3 linked regions of the Diceros bicornis minor genome follow. The protein of the gene in region 2 purifies or fractionates together with the protein of the main gene of each other region. This does not show direct contact. Links are inferred from orthologs where the notes say so. Each region holds a gene or a part of one and is shown on either strand. Other genes may lie near its edges.

The links. Proteins that work in one complex are often made in the same cells at the same time.
Region 1: the proteins of ARHGDIA (region 2) and RHOC purify together in Homo sapiens (affinity purification with mass spectrometry; 4 studies listed by BioGRID and IntAct, with this or other methods). This does not show direct contact. The link is inferred for Diceros bicornis minor from reciprocal best matches to the Homo sapiens genes ARHGDIA and RHOC.
Region 3: the proteins of ARHGDIA (region 2) and EZR purify together in Homo sapiens (co-purification; 3 studies listed by BioGRID and IntAct, with this or other methods). This does not show direct contact. The link is inferred for Diceros bicornis minor from reciprocal best matches to the Homo sapiens genes ARHGDIA and EZR.

What each region holds. Positions count from the first base shown.
Region 1 is NC_080743.1:45,467,437-45,474,742, reverse strand, and holds the start of RHOC (rho-related GTP-binding protein RhoC), read left to right. Parts: upstream 1-4,282; 5' UTR 4,283-4,353; intron 4,354-7,306. Other genes in the region: PPM1J (protein phosphatase 1J), read left to right, coding at 384-502, 705-768, 925-1,032, 1,148-1,299, 1,443-1,590. UniProt on the Homo sapiens protein: Regulates a signal transduction pathway linking plasma membrane receptors to the assembly of focal adhesions and actin stress fibers.
Region 2 is NC_080757.1:61,197,589-61,205,198, forward strand, and holds the start of ARHGDIA (rho GDP-dissociation inhibitor 1), read right to left. Parts: upstream 3,029-7,610; 5' UTR 2,930-3,028; intron 2,590-2,929; exon of another isoform or gene 2,353-2,589; intron 1,387-2,352; 5' UTR 1,360-1,386; coding exon 1,170-1,359; intron 1,036-1,169; coding exon 952-1,035; intron 624-951; coding exon 547-623; intron 464-546; coding exon 400-463; intron 205-399; coding exon 5-204; 3' UTR 1-4. UniProt on the Homo sapiens protein: Controls Rho proteins homeostasis. Regulates the GDP/GTP exchange reaction of the Rho proteins by inhibiting the dissociation of GDP from them, and the subsequent binding of GTP to them.
Region 3 is NC_080778.1:10,869,632-10,877,019, forward strand, and holds the start of EZR (ezrin), read left to right. Parts: upstream 1-4,364; 5' UTR 4,365-4,461; intron 4,462-5,655; 5' UTR 5,656-5,731; coding exon 5,732-5,743; intron 5,744-7,388. UniProt on the Homo sapiens protein: Probably involved in connections of major cytoskeletal structures to the plasma membrane. In epithelial cells, required for the formation of microvilli and membrane ruffles on the apical pole. Along with PLEKHG6, required for normal macropinocytosis.

The DNA of each region.
Region 1 (7,306 bases), on a different chromosome or scaffold from region 2:
AGGGCTCCCACTGTGGCCCCAACTGAGGAAGGAAGTGGAGTCAGAGGAGGGGGAAGGAAACAGCGAAGGCCCCTGAGAAGCGGTACGGCTCAGTGTTTTAAAGCACTGGCTCTGGAGCTGGACTGCTGGGGACTGAATCCGGGTTCGAGTACTTTGCTGACTGTGTCACCTTTGACAATTCCCTTAACTTGCATCAACAGTTCCTGCCTTAGGGTTGTTATGAGGATTAAATAAATTAATAAATGTTAATATTAGAACAGTGCATGGCACAGAGCACACTCCATTTAAGGGTCTGCTATAATTAACATCACCTCTACAGCAGGGTGTGCTGTCAGCCTAATGCCCCTGGTCCTTCTGCTCTCTCTGGCCACTCCCAATCCCAGGGCTTCCTGAAACCAGAGCTCCTGGGTGGTGAATTCACCCACCTTGAGTTCCCCCGCAGAGTTCAGCCCAAGGAGCTGGGGCAGAAGATGCTGTACAGGGACCAGAACATGACCGGCTGGTAACACTTCCCTCAGAGCTGGGGCCTGTTCCCATCGCAATGCAACCAATCCCTTACCAGCAGCAAGGTGGAAGCTCGAGGCTGGACCAGGCTGGGAGCTGGGGCATTGGGCCCTTCTTAGGGGTCTGTGTGAGGGGCGTGGCTCCTAGGGGAGAGGGGCTTTGATGCCTGGGTGATGCCTCTTCTACTCCCCCCTCCCCAGGGCCTACAAAAAGATCGAGCTGGAGGATCTCAGGTTTCCTCTGGTCTGTGGGGAGGGCAAAAAGGTAAACTCCATGGTAGAGATGGGAGAGGGCAAGAGGACCCACTGCAACTTGTCTAGGGAGGTGGAGGTTCTACCTGAGGGTAGGGGTGGGAGGGGTCCACGGTTTCAGAGAGTCAGGGAGAGGGCTGTAGCAGCACCCCCTCCTCATTTCCTTTAGGCTCGAGTGATGGCCACTATTGGGGTGACCCGGGGCTTGGGAGACCACAACCTCAAGGTCTGCAGTTCTACCCTGCCCATCAAGCCCTTCCTCTCCTGCTTCCCTGAGGTGAGCCATATGGGGGCCCCCTGAACCACACCTTCCCTCCTCTGGGGGTCTCAGGCTGGCTTTCATTCCGGGTCCTTTTATCCCCAGGCTCCCTCTCCATCCTCTTTCCTACCAGGTGCAAGTGTATGACCTGACGCAGTACGAGCACTGCCCAGATGACGTGCTAGTCCTGGGAACAGATGGGCTGTGGGATGTCACCAGTGACTGTGAGGTAGCTGCCACTGTCGACAGGGTGCTGTCAGCCTATGAGCCCAATGACCCCAGCAGGTATGGGTTGTATGGCAGCGAGGGGAGAACAGTGGGGAAGGAAGGGTCAAGGGAAGCAGTGTTTGGGGACCCACATGAGGGCCTGTGCATCTATCTTCCTGTATACATGTTGGTACATGAATGTGCACATGTGCTCCTGGCAGGTACACAGCTCTGGCACAAGCTCTGGTCCTGGGGGCCCGGGGCACCCCCCGGGATCGTGGCTGGCGTCTTCCCAACAACAAGCTGGGTTCCGGGGATGACATCTCGGTCTTCATCATCCCCCTGGGAGGGCCAGGCAGTTACTCCTGAGGGGCTCAGCCCTGACCCTCCCACCACTATCCTAGCCTCTCCAGTCTTACCCCTCTCCCAACCCAAATTCTGAAGTTGTCTCCCTGACCTTCTTTAGTGGCAAATTAACTGAAGAAGGGGTATCAGTTAGATACAAAATTATAGCTATTGGCAAATAAACCAGATGGATAAAGGTGTGTGTCTTTATGTATTTTGACTAGAAACAAAAGATAAGAAAAAGCTCTTTGGGGTAGGGGAAAGAACACCAGAATAGTCCTAAAAATGTAGTGTTCCCAGGTTCTTTCTTCTACCCTCTGCTCTTCCCACTCCACGCACTCTCATCCTCTTCTGATTCTCATCCACTTCTGTGGCTTCATCTACCTGCTGGTGTCTCCCAAGTCAGTATTTCCAGCCCAGCTCTCTCCCGAGCTTTAGACCCACATATTCCAGTCGTCTCCCAAACATCTCCTAGACATCCACAGGCACTTCAGTTCAACATACCTCGAGCTGGATTCATCATTTCCCCCTCAAACAGGCTCCTTCTCCTGGTTCATCATCTCAGTGGGCATCAGCTCAGCCTCTTTAGAAATCTTGGAGTTGGTCACCTTTGACTTCCATCTTTTCCTCATCAAGCTAATCAATCACTAAGTATTGTTGATTATATATTTTAAAATACATTTAATATCTGTCCACATATCTCCACCTCCACTGTCATTACCGTAGTTCTTTACTACATCAGCCTCCTAACTCATCTCCTAACTCTGTCTTCAGGCCACCCCACTGCTTCCCCTAATATATTAGGGACACAGCAGCCAGGGTGACCCTTCCACAATGCGAGTCTGAGTTGGTTATTCCCCTGAGAGAACATTACAGTGGCTCGTTACTGCACCTAGACCAAAATCGACACTCAAATCTTGAGCATGGCATATAAGGACCTTCATGATCTGGCCACTGCTTCCTTCTCCAGCCACCTCTTTTACCACCACCACCACCACCTTCCTGGGGTTTCAGTAACCCTGTGGGCCTGTAGTAGCTCCAACTCATTTTAAAGTGTACTCACCACCTTATCTTGAACACTTCACCTGTCTTCCAGGGCTGGGTATTGCACAGCCCACACGCCCCACTACAGCAACTGCCTCCTGTATTATAACTGCCTGTGTGAGGAGTTGGTGTGGAGCAGCAGCTAAGAGCAGAGCTCTAGAGTCCTGCTGTCTGAGTTCTGGTGCCAGACTCAACACTAGCTCTGTAACCTCTCTGAGCCTCAATTTGCTTCTCATTAAAATGGAGATAACAGTACTACCTTATATGGTTGTTGTAACGTCTAAAGTAGTTCATGTATGAAGAGCGAGGTCCATGTACAAAGGGTTCGATAACTGTTAGCTATCTTTAAGTTGTCTGTCTTCTGAATTTAGATGGTAAGTACTTTGAAGGCAGAAATTGATCTGAACTGAGCACATAGCTCTCAGTTCACACTCAATAAATGTTCACTGAGCAAGTTAAGAGGCCTGGGGACCAAACTGCTCTGGACCTCAGTTTCTTCATTTATCAAATGTGTGGGTTGCACTTCAGATCTTTAAAGTCTGTATGATTTCTAACATTCATTCAGGGAATATTTGTTGAAAAGCTAGTATGTGCCATACACTGTGTAAGACAGTGGGGAAGGGACAGGTTGGAGGAGCATGGGGGACAGCAGGGAGGGAACACCGGCTTTGGAGCCAGGTCGACCTGACTGAATTCTTGCTCTGTCACATACAAATCGCAAAACTTTGGGCAAGCCACTTAACTTCTCTGAGCCTCAGTTTCCTTACAGGCAAACAGGGATCGGTATACTAAACCTAAAGATCTGTGTTGAGTATTAAAAGGGCTGAGCTATACAGTGTACGGCACGAGACAATAAAATGTTGGTAGGCTTCCTCATCCTCCATCCACCTCCTCAGCCACCACACAGGGAAGGAGATACACTTGTAGGTAAATACCCACTGCGACCAGTCAGACGGGGCTAAGTGTCCCTAGCGGCACAGAAATAATACAATGGTGGTAGGAACTGAATTCCAGCTGGGGATCTGGAAGGATTTCCAAGAGGGCCTTTTGAGGGATAGGTAGGAATTGGACTCCTGGAATTTCCAGACAGGGAGAAGGAAGAGAACTGTGAGGCAGAACGATGGCATGGATCTCAAAGGTTCTGAAAGGTCTTCAAGACTGGGGGATGACGTTGAGCTGTGCTTACTCCGCAAAGATTCTAGGAGCAGAGGGCGGGCATCTGCAGCCCTCTCCTCGGGAGTCCCGGAGTCCGCCGTTTTCCAGTCCGGCCTCCCGCGAAGTCCCAGGTGGTGTAGGCGCGGGTGGCTAGTTGGCCACCGGAGGGCAGCAGCGGCCCTTTCCTGACCCCACCCCGAGCGCCTCTCAACTTTCCAGACGCCGGTCCGCCCCTCGGGGCTGGAAGGCGGGGCAGAGGCAGAGTCCTCGGGGGTTGCACCCGCCCCGCCCCGCCCCGCCGCCCATCCTCCACAGTCCAGGCATCTCTCTACCCAGGGGTCGAAACCGCAGACCCCGCAGCCAGTTGCGGGGCGACCCGCGGTGGCCCTGGGCTGGGGCGGTGGGCGGGCGGAGCCAAGGTTCGTCGCTGGCCTGGCCTTCCTCCCGGGCCCGCCCCTCCCCGCGGGCCCGCCCCTCCCCGCCGCCGCGCTGAAGGAGGGCGGGGCGGGGCGGGGCGGGGCCCCGGGGCCCTCGGGTCAATCTCAGCCTCCGGCACCGGCCGCGCAGCTGGAGGCGGTCGAGCGGAAGGTACGCTGGGCTGAGGGCTGGGGGCGGCGGGCGGCCCGGGAACTCGTCCCCGGGCGAGTACCTTTCGCCTTCTCCGCTAGGCGGGAGCTCGGGGCGCCGGCTGGGGAGCGGGCTTTGGCCAGAGCGCGGGTCGCCTTCCCACCCCCTCGGATGCGGCGTCTTGGCTGTGCGGGGTCGGGCAGGCTTGGCCCCTCCCTGGGCTGCAGTAGAGGACCCCCGGGAACTGCCCCGCAGGGCCTCTCGCCTCCTGGTGTCCGAGCCGGAGTTCGTTCCTTTCCCCTCCCGGCTTCCCGGAACCTGCCCCGCCGGGCGAGGGGTGAGGGGCGAGGGGGCAACTTGAGTCTCCGCGATGGAGCCCCAGCCCGGACTCTCTAGCTCCCATGCCCGGCGGCCCGAGGTGGACCTGGGTGCGGTGTGGGTCTGGGCCCGAGTTCGGGTGTCGGTGGGAATTCCCCCGGGCCAGACTGGTGGAATGGCGGGAATAGGGGCGGGGTGTGACCACGGGGGCTGCCACCGCTCGGCGGGGTCTGGACGCCGCCCTAAGCGGTTCCAGGAGCCTGCCTGTGGTGGGAGGTTGGGGAGACTGGGAAGGATCCAGCTCCTGTGTGTTGTGTGTGTGTGTGTGAGAGTGAATCTCCTCCCTTCCAGCCCTCTCCATCACACTCCCCAGTCTGGCTAAAGATAATCCTAGAGGTTTGGGCTGGAGGACTCGAGGCTATGTCCTCCCCTCACTTCTGGTTTTAATGTTGAAGAGTAGGTATCTGACTCCTTCCCTAGACCTCAGGAGTGGTGGGCAGGGTGCAGTGGACCCCTGGGTCATCTGGAAATCTAGAGAGTGATTAAGAGACAGGGCAAGTGTCTTGTCTCAGGGAAGGCCCCAGCAGTTCCAGGCTCCATTCCAGGCCCTGTATGGGGTTTGGTTGCCCCTTGTAGGGTCAGTGGGGTAGTTCCTCTGGGGCTGCCTCTCACAGGGAGTTGTTGTCCTTGCCATCTTGGCCCTGGGCCTAGTGGCCTGGTCTGGCCTGGGCTAGCTGTTCTTCTGGCTCTACTAGAGCCTGAAGGGAAAGCCTTCTAATTGAGCTGGGGGCCCCAGTCACTTAATGCATGCCCTTGCCCCTGAGTTCTGACCACTGCCTCCCACAGTCTGGTGCCACCTAAAGTGCCCTGCTGGGGGAGGGCAGTGACATACTCGTACCTGAGGAACTGTTATTCACTCTCCACCAACATTGCCTATCCCAGGTTGGCGGTATCCCAGCATGTTTTCACAGAGCTGGACCAGTGGAACTGGTGGGAGTGGGTGGGGGGAGTTGGTCACCTGGCTAGAATTTCCAGGGATCCCCTATTGGAAGGATGGTTTCCATTTTGGAGGGGATCTGCTGACATGGTGAATGCCTTCTTGCCTGTGTTTTGGGGGATCAGGGAGAGCCCCTTCTGTGGTTGGGAGAGTGTAGCTGTGTATTCTCAACTCCTATAAATTCTCTCTGACTCATATCCACTACCCCTCATCCCGGTTTTCTGTGTATGAGTGTGAGTGAGTGAGGGGAGGGAGGCCGCCGGGGATTCCACTGTTGAAGAGAACTTGCCTTGGGCTGGAGTATTCAGTTCCTAAAAGGCAGGCCGACCGAGGCAAGGATGAGGTGGTGGTGGTGTGTGGGGAGTAAAGGAGTTCAGCCCAGTTTGACAGGATGTGGGCCTGAGAGAAAAAGCCAGGTTTTGGGCAGAGATCAGGTTACCATCCCCTTCTTTCTTAACTACTCCCTCCCTGGTTGGTGCTGGGACTGGCCCTCATTTGTCTCTTTTTGGGGGCTCCTCCCAGCTCAGGCTCTAGCCCCCTCCCCCTTCCCAACAGCCTCGACTTCATCTCTGCTCCAGAGCCCGCCCTCTCTTCCTCCCCGGCTGTGGGCCTGGGAACTTCAGCCGGCTGGAGGTCAGCTCCTCTCCCCAGGGAAGGAGGAAGTGAGGCTCAGCTCAGGGGCAGGGAAGCTGGGAAGGTGGGATGAACTGTGCAGATGCCCATTCCTGTGTGTTGGGGGTGGGGGACACATGGAAACCCCGGGAAGCTGACTCCTTGCCCTGAGTCACAGGGAGGGTTGGGCAGTGCCTTGGGGTGAGCTGGACAGAGGGGAAGAAGGGAGTGGGTGGAGGTGTTTCCCTAGTGGATTATTCTCAGTCACTCTGCTGTGGTGGATGTGTGGCTCCCTACAGTGTGGTCATTGTCCCCTGCCTGGGGCTGAGTGACCCAGTGTTGCTGCCAGGCCCAGGAGGAAGGGGGGAGGAAGGCAGGCTGCCCAAATGTGGGCTGTGGGCACTGCTGGGACTGAGCCTCCTTTGTGTGACTCGGGGCTTTGGGGACCAGTTTGGGGTGGGCCGGGGAAGCCGCTGGCTGCTGCCACTGCCCTCTGTCTGGATTTCCCTCCCTCTGCTCTCCGTCCCACCTCTGGGGTGATATGTAGAAAAGACAACAGACTCTAGAGTCACACGGCCCTGCTTTGAGTGCTGTCCCTGCCACGACTCTGAACATGTGTCCTAACCTCACTGAGCCTCACTTTCCTAGTTTCTCAAAATGGGAAGCGCACCATCTCCCTTCCAGGCTTCTGGGGACTGAGAGAGATGATTTTTGTCAAAATGCCCAACATAGTGCCTGGCCCCTAGGAGCTGGAAATATATTCTTTGCCTTACCCACCCACCACCTGGTAGCTGGTTCTGCTAGCTTGTGGTCTTGGAGAGGGACTCCTCATTTGTGACTGGGCAGGCATGACTACTGCTGAGTGAGGGGCAGTGTGTTCTAGATTTTGGACCTTAGCCATTATTAAAATTTAAAAGTATCAAATTCCTGGTAACAAATGAAGTCTGACTTGAAACCCTGATGTGGACAGTTATGCGCCACACAACGATGTTTTGGTCAACAGTGGACCACATATATGACGGTGGTCCCATGAGATTAGTACCACAT
Region 2 (7,610 bases):
GGACTCAGTCCTTCCACTCTTTTTTAATGGTGAGGTTCCACTCCCAGGACAGGTGATCAGTCTTGTCATCATCTGTGAAACGCGACTTGATGTTGTAGCTGCCTCGAGCCAGCATGCCCTTGGGCGCCTCCTCCATGGGAGTCAGGAACTCGTACTCCTCTGCCCGGGGCCCGTAGCTCCCCACCATGTAGTCAGTCTTGTCAACTGTAATGCAGAGAATGCACTGGTCATCAGTGTGGCTCACCTCTGCCCGGGCAGCTGCCAGGGAGCAGAGCTGGGCCGAGGGCACACACTGCCTTTCCTGTCTCCCTCCTGGTCCCTAAGCCCTTTGCCCTGAGCCAGCCAAGAGGCAGCCATCTCTCTCTTAGAGGCTGGGGTCTGGTGCCCACCCTCACTCACTCTTGACGCCTTTCCTGTATGTGTGCTGGATGTACTTCATGCCGGACACAATTTCTCGGTTCACCTGCAGGGAGGGACCCCAGGCAAGGCTCAGCCGGGCTCTCCAGCCCTGGCCCCTCCCGGCCCCTGCCACAGCCTCTGCCTTACCCGGAAAGAGATTTTTATCCGGTATTCCACACCTTCCTTCAGCACAAATGACTGCTTCTTGAAGCTCTCCAGATCACCTGTATTTGGGAGGAACACCACACTAGGGGGCTCAGCCAGCAGAAGCCACTCACTTCGGCATCTCCCATCTGTGACTGCCCGCTGCCATCTGGGCCCTGGCGGGATGCCCCTTCTACTCCCCGTCTCCCCTGCCCCTGCACACATAGCCCTTGGCACCCCCAACCTAGGACCCAGATCACTCCAAAACCAGCAACTTCAAAGACCGCTTGGCTGCACTTCTTGTTCTCCCCACGAGAGGGTGGCAGAGCTCCAGGAAACTATATTTAGAGAAAGCAGGGGTGGGGGTGCCAGGCAGCCCCAGCCAGAGACCTCAAAGGTGCCACTCACCTGTCAGGTCAAGCTCCAGGGGGCCCGGGGCGGTGCTACACACCAGGGTCAGGCGGGTCACGACTACATTGGGGACGTTGGGGTCTGTGGAGTGACAGCAGGTTAGTGCTCCACCCCCTGGGCCTCCCACACACCCATAACTTGCCACCAGGGGGCAGCAGCAGCAGAAACCCAGAAGAGTGACAAGGTATCCCTCTGTGTGACCCCAACCCACTCACCAGCAGACACAGCCACACGGCCCAGCAGGGCCTCCTTGTACTTGCGCAGACTCTCATCGTCCTTGTCCAGCTCCTGAATCTCCTGGATGCTCTTCTGGGCCGGGGGCTTGTAGTTGACCGAGTGCTCGTCTTCCTCGTTCTCAGCTGCAATCTGTGCCAGCTGCTCTGCTGTGGGCTCCTGCTCGGCCATGCTCACCTCTCGCTGGGTCTGGGACACCTGTGGGCCAGGCGGGCTGTGGCAGCCTGGAGGGACCCACAATGTCTCCCCCCTCCCGCCCCTCAGCGGGCCCTGCAGCCAGCTCAGGCGGGCTGTGTCGAAGGCTGCTCCACAGGTGGCCAGGCCCCGTATCTCGGCCCAAAGAGAGGTGCACCTTCTAGAGCAGGAGGGCAGCCTGCAGCCAGAACCCAGACATAGGCTCCTGAACCCAGCGGGGCTATACTTGCCTCCTCGCCCTGCCCATCTCAGGGGACCCACTGGGGCAGTCTGAGAGGACCCCAGCCTAGGTACAGTACCCAGGACTAAATGGAACCCGCAGCCTGCTCCTCTGGGAGACCAGGCACACCTCTGCCGCCCCCAAGGAGGAGGCAGGACCCCAGCCCTGCCGGCAGACCCCCAACTGTCACCTCTGAAGTCCTGCTGCTCTTTCTGAGCTGCTCAGGCCCTCGCCCCACGGGACTCCTCCCACTGGGTCAGGGAGACCCGGCTCCCTAGGACCAGGCATGCTCCTTCTGCCCTGTCCTAGCCAGGAAGCAAGGCCTCTGTGCAGGACACAGGTCAGTTCTGCCTCATCCTGCAAACACAGGGCTCTCCTACAGCTCAGATGATGAGGCCAGCCTGACTCCCACATGTAGGTCCCAAAAGGGCACAGGGGATCCTAAGAGTCTGCCAACGTTCTCTCCAATCGTGAGAGTCTGTGACCTACAATTTGGGAACTGCTGCAGCAGCTCCAGTATTTTCAAGACCCTTTTTCTGGATCCTGGCCCAGGCGAGTCTGGAGCAGCACTCTCAGAGCGGGGAGCACTGCATGAGGCAGCCGCTGGGCTTCCTTCAGCTAAAAATCCCATTGCAAGCCCAGAGACTTCCTGAGGAGTGTCTGGAACCCACTCAGATAGGTCCGGGTGGTGTAGGAGATGGGTCAAGGCCCAGCCCACCCCAGGCCTCAGATTGCCCAGGAAAGATTACCAAAGCCTTTCCCCACAGGCCCAGGCTGGCAGCTGGGACTCGCCCGAGGACCAGATCTCACAAAGGGCCGCAGGGATCCCCGAGCCGCCGGCCGCCCCAGGCGGGGTGGGGCCTGCCCGCTTTCCCAGGCCTCCCTGCCGCTTCCTCTGGAATTCCTCTACAAGGCTCACGCCCTAATGTCACTAAGTGCGGCCGCAGGCGACAGGATCCTCTAGGGCGATCGCCGCGGCCGCACTTCCGCAGGGCCCCGCAATCTGGGCCGGGCGCGGCGCGGGGTGGGGCGCGGTGCCCCGGAGAAGGGGACGTCAGCCTAGCTCCGGTCGGCGCACGCCGGCGGGGAGGGGCCGCGGGGTACGGGCGGCGGCCACAAAGGAGGCCTAAGCCCCCGGTCCGCGCCCCTGGCCCGCGCCGCACGTGGGCCCGCCCTGCGGCCCGGCCTCCGCCGGCTGTCACCGCCGCCCCAGCCCCGCGCAGACCCCACGGCAGGCGGAGCGAACAAAGGCGCGGCCCCCGCGCCTCCCTGCCGCTGCCGCTGCCGCCGCCCCGCCTGCCGCCGCCGTCCCGCCGTGGCGCTCACCGGAGGTTCGACTGCGCAGCTCTCGCGCTCCCTCCCGCACGGAACGACGAACGTCGCCGCCCCGCCCGCGCGCTCCCGGCCGGCCACTTCCGGGGTCACGCGACTTCCGCTCGCGCCACACGCCAGGGCGCATGCGCGGGCGCGCGGGTCTGCCGGGAGCGTGCCGGTGCCATCTTGCCGGGCTGGTGTGGTGGGTGCGTCCCGTGTGGGCGGCGGGCGGGCTCGGGACGCCTAGGAAGTCCGGTCCCAGTTGGTAGTTTTGCGCCTTTTGCTGCAAGCATTTTCCGGTCCCGGCCGTCCCCACGGGTCAGCCCGCAAAGTAGAGGGACGGGCGGTGTCACGGTCTTGCTCACGCCCCACGTACGTCGTGGCATTTCCGCGAGGTGCTGTAAGGCACGTCTGTAAAGCTCTGGAACATCTCCGCGTGCACGGCAGGGTCCACCCGAGGCCAGCCGACGGCCGCCCTCCCACCTGAGCCGGCCTCTCGCGTCCTCTCGCCATCGTGACCCTCTCGGAAGTTAACGCTGGACCTTCTTCGATCAGCTCACGTTAACCACTCAAAGAACGCTCCGTGGGTGGTGTTAAAAAACAATTCCAACCGAGAAAATTTGAAGATCTAATTGGCTTTATTCAAGGATTTATGGATCAGGCAGCATCCCATTTAATAAACAGGCCTTCCGAAGGGTTGTACAAAAGAAGATTTTTATAGGAAGAAACTAGGTGGGACAAGAAAGTAATTAGCAAAAGGAAAGAAAAGATGCTTTCAGGCAAGATCACCTTTCTTTGGGGGAAGGGCGGCAGGGGTCTTAGCAGGCAGATGACCTCACTATTGTTGATCAGGAATTTCCCGACTGGTAAGGTTACATTCCTGGGAGGGGGTGAAACTGCAATTAAGTCTTGGTTTCCGGTCCTGGGGGCAAGTGACTCCACCTTGGGCCTGTAGTTTTTTTATTTTTTACCGGTGTCCAGGTCACCCCTGGCCTGAGCCTGGGCTCTGGGGCCTCTCTTGGTATCTTTGTAACCTGTCCAAGGCTATGCTGGTGGCCCTCTGCCCCACTGTCCCCTCCTGAAGAACACGGCTGGATGGCCAGAAGCATACACAGGCTCAGAGCTGCCCCAGGCCTGCAGCCCTCAGGCTTTTTTTTTCCAGACTAAATCAACATTCTTGGGGGCTCAGCACATTTGGTTTCCTTGCCATGAGCATCACTTCAGGGAAAAAACATGTCACTGCGGAATTCCTTGACTCTTGTGACTTTGGAAGCTCTTGGCACAGATGACATGATTTTCTCAGTCTGCTATTCATCACAGACCCAAGAATTCTCCGTTTGTGTGCTCCAATTGTTGGCAGACTTCAGACATTTGCCCACATGCTAAATCAAGGAACATTTTGTAGCACCAGGAGGGGCCTCATAAAATGGGGCTGGTCTGGCCCGGGGCTGGTCTGCCTGAAGGCCGGAGTGCCCAAACCCCAGCCCAGCACTCCTCTTTCTTCTTGTGGGGTCCAAGCCCCTAACGGCTCCACACCTCCAGCCTGTAGCATTTGTAGAATTGTAATAAGGTGGTAATGAGTTCATGCCACCTATAATGACTGTTAAGCTCCACAAAGGCAGGGAACCCAGGCCAAGACAGAAGTTGTCACAAACACACATATACACACAACTGCATTGTACGTAGGAGGGCATTTTCAGAAATTGAACTTAATGCAAAATACTGACTTTGGTATCTTCTGGAAATTTCTCAATTTTTGAGGAATATTTGCTTATTTTCTGTAACTAGGAGTTGCACTGTCAGCTTTATGTGTACAAAGTTTAGTTGGCGGAAAGCAGAGCATTCTAATTGGGTATTCACTATGTTGCTTCTGAGGCTTCTTGTCATTGTAAACTTGGAATACCACAGCGGACTGTCCCCCTGCACTGCTGTCTGAGTCGCTGGTTGAGGAAAAGTTGGCTTTCGGATAACCCAAGTGCTTTTAAAAAAACCAAACTCTATTATAGAAAATTTCAAACATACATGTTATTAGTAATCTATTACTGTGTAAAAATGTACCCTGAAATTCAGCAGCTTAAAACAACAACCGTTTATTATTTTGCATGGTTTCTGAGGATCAGGGAGCAGCTTAGCGGGTTGGTTCTGGCTCCAGGTCTCTCATGAGGTTGTGGTCCCTGAAGATGTGCTGGAACTCCAAGCTAATGCAGGCACTGTGGGCAGGAGGCTCAGTTCCTTGTGGGCTGTTGGCTGGAGGATTTAGTTCTCTGCCACCTACGGCTCTGGCCACTCCGTAGGGCTGCTCACAACAGGGCAGCTGGCTTTCCCCATGTGAGGCCTCAGAGACAGACAAACAGACAGACAGACAGAGACAGAAAGAACAAGAGCCAGGGAAACAGCAAGCACTGAAGATGAAGCCAAGGTGTCTTACAATCTAACCTTAGCAGTGCCCTAGCTCCGCCCTACTAGATTGGTCACACAAACCTCTCCTGGCACCGGGTGAGAGGGGACACAGGGGCCTGAGGACCAGGAGGCAGCGGCACCGTTGGGGTTGTCTTGAAGGCGGCCCACCACATGCACCAAAATACTGTAGAAAGAATGGTATTATGAACCCAAGTGGACAGACCATCCAGCCTCAACGGGTATCAGCTCGTGACTGATCTTGTTTCATCTGTGCCTCACCTCCCCCCACGCAGCAAGTTTGAAGCAACCCCCAGAAGTCATTTCCACCATAAATATTTCAGTATGTATTTATTTCTAAGGAAAAGGATCCTTTTTTAGGGTGAACAATAGCCATAGCACCATTATCCCGCTGGGTCCTTGTCTCTACTGCTATATAACAAACCACTCCAAATGCGGTGGCTTGGAGCAGCGAGTCACGATTCTCTCTCCTATTCTGGGGGCTGCGTGAACTCAGCTGGGGCTCTCATGCAGTGTCGGTCAGATTGAGTCGTGCTGCAGCCAAATGAAGGTGGCCGGCCAAGAGGGCCCTGTCATACAGCACTCCCCTGGGGCTGTCAACTTGAGGACCTCCAGCACAACGCCCATGGGATCTTGGCAGCTGGACTCCAAGAGCAAGTTCTGAGAGGCTTGTTCACCGGGCTTCATGTGAGCCCACTCAGAAGTGCCAGAACCAAACTTGTGTGGCTCTCTGCTGGCCAAGCCCATGAGTTGGGCCAGCCCAAGTTCAAAGTCAGAGAGTTAGACTCCACCTTTCAGTGGGAAGAGAAGGAAAGACTGTGTGGCCATCTTTATTCTAGCCACAAGGACCCACGTTCCTCTCCTGTAAAACACAACACTTCCCAGGATCCCCCAAAGTCTCATCCCGTTGTGGCTTCAGCTCAGGACCCAGGTGAGGGCGAGGTTGGGGGTCTGGCTTCTCTTAACCTGAAAATTGAGGCTAAAGACCCAGAAGACCTGCCCAACAGTGCCCGACAGACCATCCTGTCTCACCCCCTGACCTACAGAATCCGTGAACGTAACAAAATGGTGCTTGTTTTACACCAAGTTTGGGAGGTAATTCTTATAGAGCAGAAAGTACCTGGGATACTAACCAAGAAAAGTAACACAAGTCCTAAATATCAGTAAAGATCCAACCAGTATTTTCCTGATTTTATTGTGAGTTCTTTTACTTTTTGTTTGAATCAGAATCAAATTGTTTCACACATTGCAGTTAGTTGGTATGTGTCTTAATCAATAGGATTGTCCTCTCTTTGCTCCATGTAGTGTCCTGTTGAAGGACCGGGGTCACTTGTCCTGTAGAGTCTCCCACGGCAGGAACTCGATTGGCAATGCCGCACCCCAGCACCCCAGCTTTGACACTGAGACGGGGTACCTGAGGGCTACTGTAAATACTCCATAAGAACATGGTTACCCTCTGACCTTGTTCCCAACACAGACACAGAAGAAAAGAAGTGAATAAATAACCTCAATCTCTGTTAGATGTATTTGTTGAGCTCAAATGCTTGCTTCACAGCCCAGGCATCATTGTATCTTGTTAATTTGCTGTTTTCTTTCTTTCTTTTTTTAAAAAATATTTATTTGTTTATTTATTTAGTGTGTGTGTGTGAGGCAGATCAGCCATGAGCTAACATCTGTTGCCAATCCTCCTCTTTTTGCTGAGGAAGACTGGCCCTGAGCTAACATCTGTGCCCATGGTCCTCCACTTTATATGGGATGCCACCACAGCATGGCCTGACAAGCCGTGTGTCGGTGTGCGCCCGGGATCCAAACCCGGGCCGCCAGCAGCAGAGTGCACACACTTAACCGCTATGCCACGGGGTCGGCCCCTAATTTGCTGTTTTCTTATTTAACCAGAGGGGTGACTCAGTGGTCACAAGGATTTATGAGCTTGTCTTACCGAGGAAAAAGAATGCCTGTAAGGAAGTTACGACCAGCAGATAACTAGCCCCCAGCTGCCACTGATGCCAAGAAGTCTAGTTGCGCAAGGTCTTATCTGAAGTGAAAGAAACACAGATTTCCCCTTTGTTTCCCTGAAACTCCTTCTCCCAAGCCCCTTAGCCCTATAAAGGCCCCCTGCTTCCTTCTTTTGTTAAGGCAGATCTGACAGAACCTATTCTCTGGTCTTCTCATTTTGGCCAATTTTATTTATTTATTTATTTTTTCCCCCCCAAAGCCCCAGTAGACAGTTGTATGTCATAGCTGCACATCCTTCTAGTTGCTGTATGTGGGACGC
Region 3 (7,388 bases), on a different chromosome or scaffold from region 2:
GCGGGAGGGGGGGTGGGGCAGACATAGTCTGATATATTCCGAACTGGGCCTGTTAGGTCTGCTGGATTGGACGCACAAGGGTTGGAGGATGGAGTGCGGTCAAGGGAAAGAGGGGAATTCAGGTTGACTTCTAGGTTTGGGGCCAAGCAACAGGGTGAATGGTGGTTCTGTTTTCTGAGAAGGGGAAGGCTGGGAGGGGAGCAGTTTTCGAAACATCAAGAATCCTGGAGACAACATGTATGCACTTGTTGCTCAAGAGAGGTCACGGCTGGAGATGTTATTTAAGACTTGGGATTGGATGAGATGACCTAGGAAGAGAGTGTACACAGATAAGCACCCAGGAATGAGCTCTGAGCTAAGCCTGCAGTGAGGGTTGGGGGAGGAGAGCTAGCCTCGGAGGAGGAAGCAGGATTGGGGGAGAGGGGAGAAAACAGAAACTCTAAGAACAGAATGTTCCCAGGGAGTGTTACATGTGTCCAAGGCTGCTTAGGAGAAGGGTAAGATGAGGCAGAGAAGGTCAGCTTCCGGATTTAGCAAGATGGAAGTCTCCACTATCTTGACAAGAGAAGTCTGGGTGCAGGGGTGCCGACAACTAATTTAATCTCTGTGGAGCTGTTTCCTCTGCAAAAGGAGGGTATGGGAAAAGATGATGTTTAAGGCCCCATCCTCTACTTCATCATACCACATGCTTTTAAGCCGGCAAAAAAATTTTCAAAAAAACTCCTAAAACGATTAGGGATAAGAAAAATTCTAATAAAAGAAGCTATGCTATTTGGGAGTTTATTAATCAAACAAGTTCTGCGGTCATTAGTACTCTTTTACACAAAAACTATTACGGCTATTTATACAAATTATTAGATAAGCCAAGGAAACAATGAAAATAGAACACCTAGTGGCCGGAATTCTTCTCAGAGGACCAAAGGTATATAAGATGTACCATCAAAATAGTATCAGAATGCTTTTCTACCTTATCGTCCTGTGAAGACCCTTAAAAGTTAATTCTGGACACAAGACAGAGTGGCTGCCGGTCAGGCTGTGCGAGTCCTTATTCATTCCCGTGCTCTGTCACCCACACTGCAGGGACTGGTCACCCCCCCAGAGGTCAGAAAGGAATGTTAAATCATACCAGAGATTTCCAGATTGAGTTCATGGAACTTTATAAGATTACACTAAATGCTTAGTTCTCTTTAACAATCATCTCTGCCAGTGAAAAGCTTACCCAGTGTTACCTCTAAAATACGTATTATAAAATATTTCAGACCCACAAAAACGTACAAAGGATGCTATAAAGGGCACCGTGGGCCACCACTCAGCTTAATAAAACATTACTACCGCTGACGAGGCCCCCATGGAGGCATCATTCTCCCCGTCCTCCAGATAGTCACTGTCCTGAATTTCCACCCAAAGTTAGTGAGTCCTGAAAAATAACCCAAATTCTTGTTTTGCCGAGAGTGTTCTATATTTTTCCCTATTGCCTACTGACTGTACTTTTGAAGTGACTGAGGCTAGAGCTTGTCATACTCTTTGTGAACTTTTATTTATTGGTTGAGATTAACCTGGCACCAGCGTGGAGACAGGCTCCAGCTGATCTGATAGGAAGCGGATGTTCTGTGCGACAGCTCTGGTCCTTGCCGCCGTATCTAAAGGGACTGTGAGGGCTGCCTCACTTTAGTGTACCCTTGCCTGAAAAACTTCAAGCAATTTCCCAACAGCCTTTGCCAGGCTCATGGCAGACATACAATTTCCCTCCTCTAGCTGAAAAACTGAAACCCTGCAGGGGAATAACTTCACACATAAGAAGTGAAGGGAGAGGCAAATTAAGTCATATTTGTCAGGATCCTGCCACACCCTAAGTCAGTGGTTCTCAGATTTTGGTGTAAGTCAGACTCACCTGGGGATTTGTTAAAGACGCAGATCCCAGGGTTAACCTGAGACTTAAGGACCCATGATTCCTAGAGCGGGCTCCATGAGTGAGTCTAATGCACACCAAGGCTTCAGTACCACTGTCCTAAGCAATTCTCATAGGTTCCTTGGAGTTCAGTCTTCTGTGTGTGTGCTGGGGGTGGGGAGGGCTGGGGAGAAGTTTAGGTTCTCAAGTCAGGTGAAAATAAATTACCCTTGGAAAATGCCCTGAAAACACTCCTAAGATACAGTACAAAGGTTTTATTTTTGGGTTGGGGAACCCTGTACAGTAACATGTAAATATAATGCATAAGGCTTACAGTAATGTAAAGCAAATGGGGAAGGCTTATGACTTTATGCTATTTTAACTTAAACAACAAAAGTATACCTATAAATCAAATTTGAGTAAGTTAAACGCTCCCATTATATGACTCAGTGACACAAGAACTCCATACATTATTATCTCCAGTCTACGGCTGAAGAGGCAGGAGCTCAGATGAAGAGACTGGCCCAAAGTGAGGGGCTTGTAGATGCTGGAACCAGAATTCAGACTCAGCTCTGTTCGTTTCTGAAACTTGTGGTCTTTTCATTTTACCACACTGCCGCAGGCCAATTCCTTTTCACCATTCCCCTGAAGGGTAAAGTTCACAAATGCTCCAGGTCTTGGGCCACTGCTATTTCAAAACACCCAATTTAGAAGACAATATACCGTAAAGTGGGTGAGATAAACAATTATGTTAGAGGCACATCCTATCAGCAGAGTTGGGGACCAGAAATGACTAACAAGTCTCCAGGCAGTGATAAGAGGCGGAGATAGAGCAGGCTGGGGTAACATGTCCAGTCTGAACCATTATCACTGCAGGTTATTTAAATATCTTTCATAGTTTCCTTCCTCCTGCAGTTAACTTTACATCTTCATTTTAATAGAAAAGAAAGTCTTTCAGAGGGAACAGACTTGCTGTTGGAATACAGGACAAAATCTCAGAAAAGGCCTCCCTCTTCACCTGGACCTCTAAAATGCCCTGGTCCTGCAGCTGGGAGAGGGTGACAGGTACAAGCTGACAAGGGGTACCCCAGAAGCAGTCTGCCCCCGTGACAGGTTAGGCATTAGTGGGAGGCCCACATTCTGCTAAGCACTTTGCACACATTATCTCACTTAATCCATACAAGTCCATGTCGGGGGGCTACTAGTATCTCCAGTCTACGAATTGGGAAGGTGAGTCTTGGAGAGTTTGGGTCTTTGCCCAAAGTCACTGGTTACTGTCTGTACCAGGAGAGATTCAAGTGCTTACTGTGTGCCAGGCTCTGCTCTAGGCATCTCACATGCATTAATTCCTCTAATCCTCATAACAACCCTAGGAAATAGGTGCCATAATTATGCCATTTTACAGATGTGAAAACGAAAGCACAAAGGAGTTAATAACGCGCTCAACTCACATGGGGAGTTAGTGGCCAGCCCAGGAAAGGAATTCCGGAGAAGCTCTGGTCTCAACCCTTAGCCTACATCACAATCCCCTGGAGGGCTTGAAGATAGACTGCTGGGCCCCAGCCCTACAGATTCTGAGCCCTAGGTTTGGGGCGGTCCCCTTGAATTTCCATTTCCGCCAGTTCTCAGGTGATGCTCACGATGCTAGTGTGCGAAGCACGCTTAGAGAACCACCGCTCTGGAGCTGGCTCACCGAATCACTGCGCCACAAATGCGCCTGGCCACCAAAGTCCATGTGTTTTGTGTGTTTTTTAAAATTCCTCTTGAGATCCATTTGCAAAAAATATTAAAAACAATTCCTAGAATTTCTCCCTATGGCGATTTCTGCTATAGCTTTGTGCTAGTCAAGTCAAAGGAGGCCACAGCTGTGTCCTTTAACCAGAGCGTTCGGCGATGGAGCGTCTTCTAGGCTTGTGTCCTTCTCGACCCAATCCGAACGCGGAGGCCGGCCGGCCACGTGCGCCGAGACGCAGAGGCCAGGTACGGCCGCCCCAGGCCCGGGGTTCTCAGAACCCGCCCCGGTCGCGGCGCAAGGACAAGCAAATGACCTGACCACGGGGAGCAGCCCCACCCCAAAATGGCCCAGCATCTCCCCTCTGGCCGCCTGCTCCTCCAGGTTTATTTACATTTTCTTGCTTTCTCTCTGTCCACTGTGGGGCAAATAATCTGACGTCTTACATCTGCAATCAGGAGTTGAACCAAATTCGGCAAAGTTTTTCTCCAAGGGCAAGGGAACAGGCAGAGAAGAGGGAAGGGTCTTCACGATGGAGAGAGACGGCGGGGCGGGAGGGAGGCGGAGGACGCCCCCGCCCGGGTCTCCAAGGCCCTCAGGGGCGCCCTCCTGGGCGGGGCGGGGGGCGCCCGGCGGGGCGGGTGGGAGGCGGGAGAGCCCCTGGGCGGCCAGCGGCCGCAGCCATTTTGCGCGCCGGGCGCACCTCGCAGGTCGGGCGGGGCGGTTAGGGGCGCGGCCCCGGGACCCCGCCCCGCCGGGGACTCTTGGGAGCGCGGGCCGCGGGCGCACTGCGCGGACACGCCGACAGCGGGAGAGCAGCCGTCCTCTGCAGGCGCCGCCGGTGAGCCCGGCGCGTGGCCGGGGTTGGCGGGCGGAGGGGTCGGGCCGGGGTTGGGGGGGCGCGCCCCGCAGAGGGGACAGTGGCCGGGACTCGACGACAGGTGTGGCGGGGCCGGTCTGGCGGAGGGGCGGCCCGCGCGCAAGCCCCGGGCCGGCGGTCCCCGAGGGGAATCGGGCTCGCCCCTCCGCCGGCCGCGTTCGGGGTCTCGGGCCGGTGGGGTCCTCGCCTGGCCCTCCGGGCATGGCTCTCCCGTTCGGCCCAAAGAAACAGCAGGTGAAGCTGAACCTGCTGGTGTGGCCGCCCCCGCTGCTCCGCGACCTTCCTCTTTCCACTCTGTGCCCTGGAGTCCCCCTTCCAAAGTGCCAGCGGAGCCTGGGCTGCGTGGCCGCGCCCCTGCCCGCGCCCTCGTGCTTCGCTTGGCCCCGCGGTCCTCGGCCCTTCCCGGGCGGGGCCGGTTTTCTTCAAGTGTTTCTCAAAGGCTTGACGGTTGCGGTTTCAGCCCTGGGGCAAACGGTTGCTTCACAAAGTGAAACTTGCTGTTTGCTGGGCTCCCCGCTGGCTTCCGGGAAGCCCCGAGAAGTACCTCTGGGGACCCCCGCCCCGCCGCTTCCCAGTCCGGGAGCCGGCCCCCGCCCCGGCGCCCGGGTCCCCCGACCCCTCCCCGCCGGGATCCGCGCCGCCCGCCCCGGCACCCTCCCCGCCAAGCCCCCTTCCTGGCGCCGAGGCCCCCCGCCCGGGCCCTACATCCCTATGCGCGCGCGCGCGCGCAACCCTCCCCACCGGCTCCCTCCCCCCAGGTCCCCTCCGGCTGGGTCCATCCCCCCGGGTTCCCGGGCCCCCTCCGGCCGGCCCCCTCCCCCCGGGACCCCGGGACCCCGCGCCCCCTCCGGCTGGGTCCCTCCCCCCGGGACCCCGAGCCCCGTGCTGGCCAGGTCCAGCCCCCTCCTCACCGGGTCTCTCCCCGCCGCCCCCTCCCCCTCCCCCCCTCCCCCCCCGGGCCCCCGCCCCCGCCCCCTCCCCGCAGGGCCCGCCCGCCCGGCCTGCGGTAATTGCAGGTTGGGCGGTGACTCATCCCGGCGCCCGCCCGGCGGGTTCTTAAGCAGCGGCGCGGGGCGGGCGGCGAGTCTCGGGGCGCGGCGGCGGGCGCGGGAGGAGGGCTGCTGCGCGCTCTAAAGGGCTTCCCTCTGCCTCCAGGTCGGGAGAACCGTCTCAGCTGCTGCTCGAGAGTAGTGTTTCCAGGGGATTGAGGAAAACCCATCAGGAACCGAAAATGCCGAAACCAGTAAGTAACCCAGTTTCTGGGCTGGGGCGGAGGCTTCGAGCTGTATTTTCAATTGGAGGCACCTGGGCGAGGTGTTGGGGCAGGGTTTTTTAAACGGATAAGAGGGCAGGAGTAGGGAATTGTCTCTCCTCTTTGTTGTGTGTTGGTCCTTTTAGGGACCTCCTGAAGAAAACACGATTTTGATGCTTTTCTCTACAGTCTTTTTGTTTGCGAGCTCCGCCCCCCAGGAGTTACGGTCTTTTATACAAGTTAGAATCCCCTTTTACACCGCTTCAGTCTGTTTCAAAGTGTATTCTAATGCAACTTGGAAGTTGCTTAGAAAGAAAAGTTGTCTAAATCGCAGGAGAGTTGAGTGACGTCCGACGGCGCACACCAACTCCGAGTCCCTCCGAGTCCGGAGCCAGATGCACCCCAAATCTTCTTTTGGCGCCCCCAAGGGCATCTGGCAGAGGAGACGCTGTCTTTCTGGCGGGCAGCCCCGTTCCAGTGCATTGCACGCCGGCGCAGCCTGTGGAGCTGTGCTCTGTTCGCCCGGAATTTGCTGGTGGCAGCAGGATTCCTATCTGAAAGAGTTTAGTAATGGACTTGAATTGCAGATGAGGGCAGGCAGCCCCGGAGTTTGATAAGGAGGCTCCCTGGGCCCTCTCTGGTCTTGCACTCCTGGTAAATGTCATAAACATCAGCTGATGTCAGGGCTGCCGTGCCCGCACCTCTGTGCCCCGGAATCTGATTTTGTTGCGTTCTCTGCGAGTTGGCTAGCCAGGCCTGGGGTGTTAGGCTTTCGCTTAAGTTATGGGACCGAGGCAGGTTCTTTGTGACGGGCGTTTCTTAGGAAGTAGTATATATTCTGCCTGCTTTAACGCAGGTAAACTGGTGACCAGATACTGGGGAGGAGGGTTTAAATTTTAATCGAGTTTTGAATCACGGTGGAGAAAATGTCTGGGTTCATTAAAAATTGCAATAAAAGATACATATGGAATAGTTTTTGAAACAGATTGGTTCTGTAGTGGATGCTGTATGTGCTTTTCTACCGTTAAATGTTAGATTCTCTAAAATGAGTTCTTTATTAATAAAGTCTTATTTTGTTGTTTAAGTAAGTAAATTACTATGTTAATATACTAAAAGATTGAGAAGCTAGTATAGTTTTTGCCTAAATTATTTCATCAAGATGATTCATTCGTGATGCAGAAAATTTTTTTTCCTACACAAAATTCTTTTAGTTTCGAACTTGCAATCGGTCCGTGACATCCGGGCTTTACAATCCCTATGATATAAAACTGACCTAAATACAGCCGCTTACTTGGGGCACAGCCCTGAGCAGTTATGCAGAGCAGTGGTCAAGAGATTACCATTTCCTGGTGTGGTTTTCTTTATTTCACGAAAAGATGCAGAGTTCAGATTTTAGCGTATCACTTAGAAGAAAAGAGTTAATAAACCAGTTTCCAGTCAGTACTTTTCTCTCTCATTTCTCATGATGAACTGTAATTTCTTTTCTTTTTCTGGTTTCCTTTTTTTATTGTAGTAAAATATACGTAACATTCAATTTGCCATCTTAACTATTTTTAACTGTACAGTTCAGTGGCACTAAGTACATTCACATTGTTGTGCAAGTGTCACCACCATCCATCTCCAGAACTTACCCAAA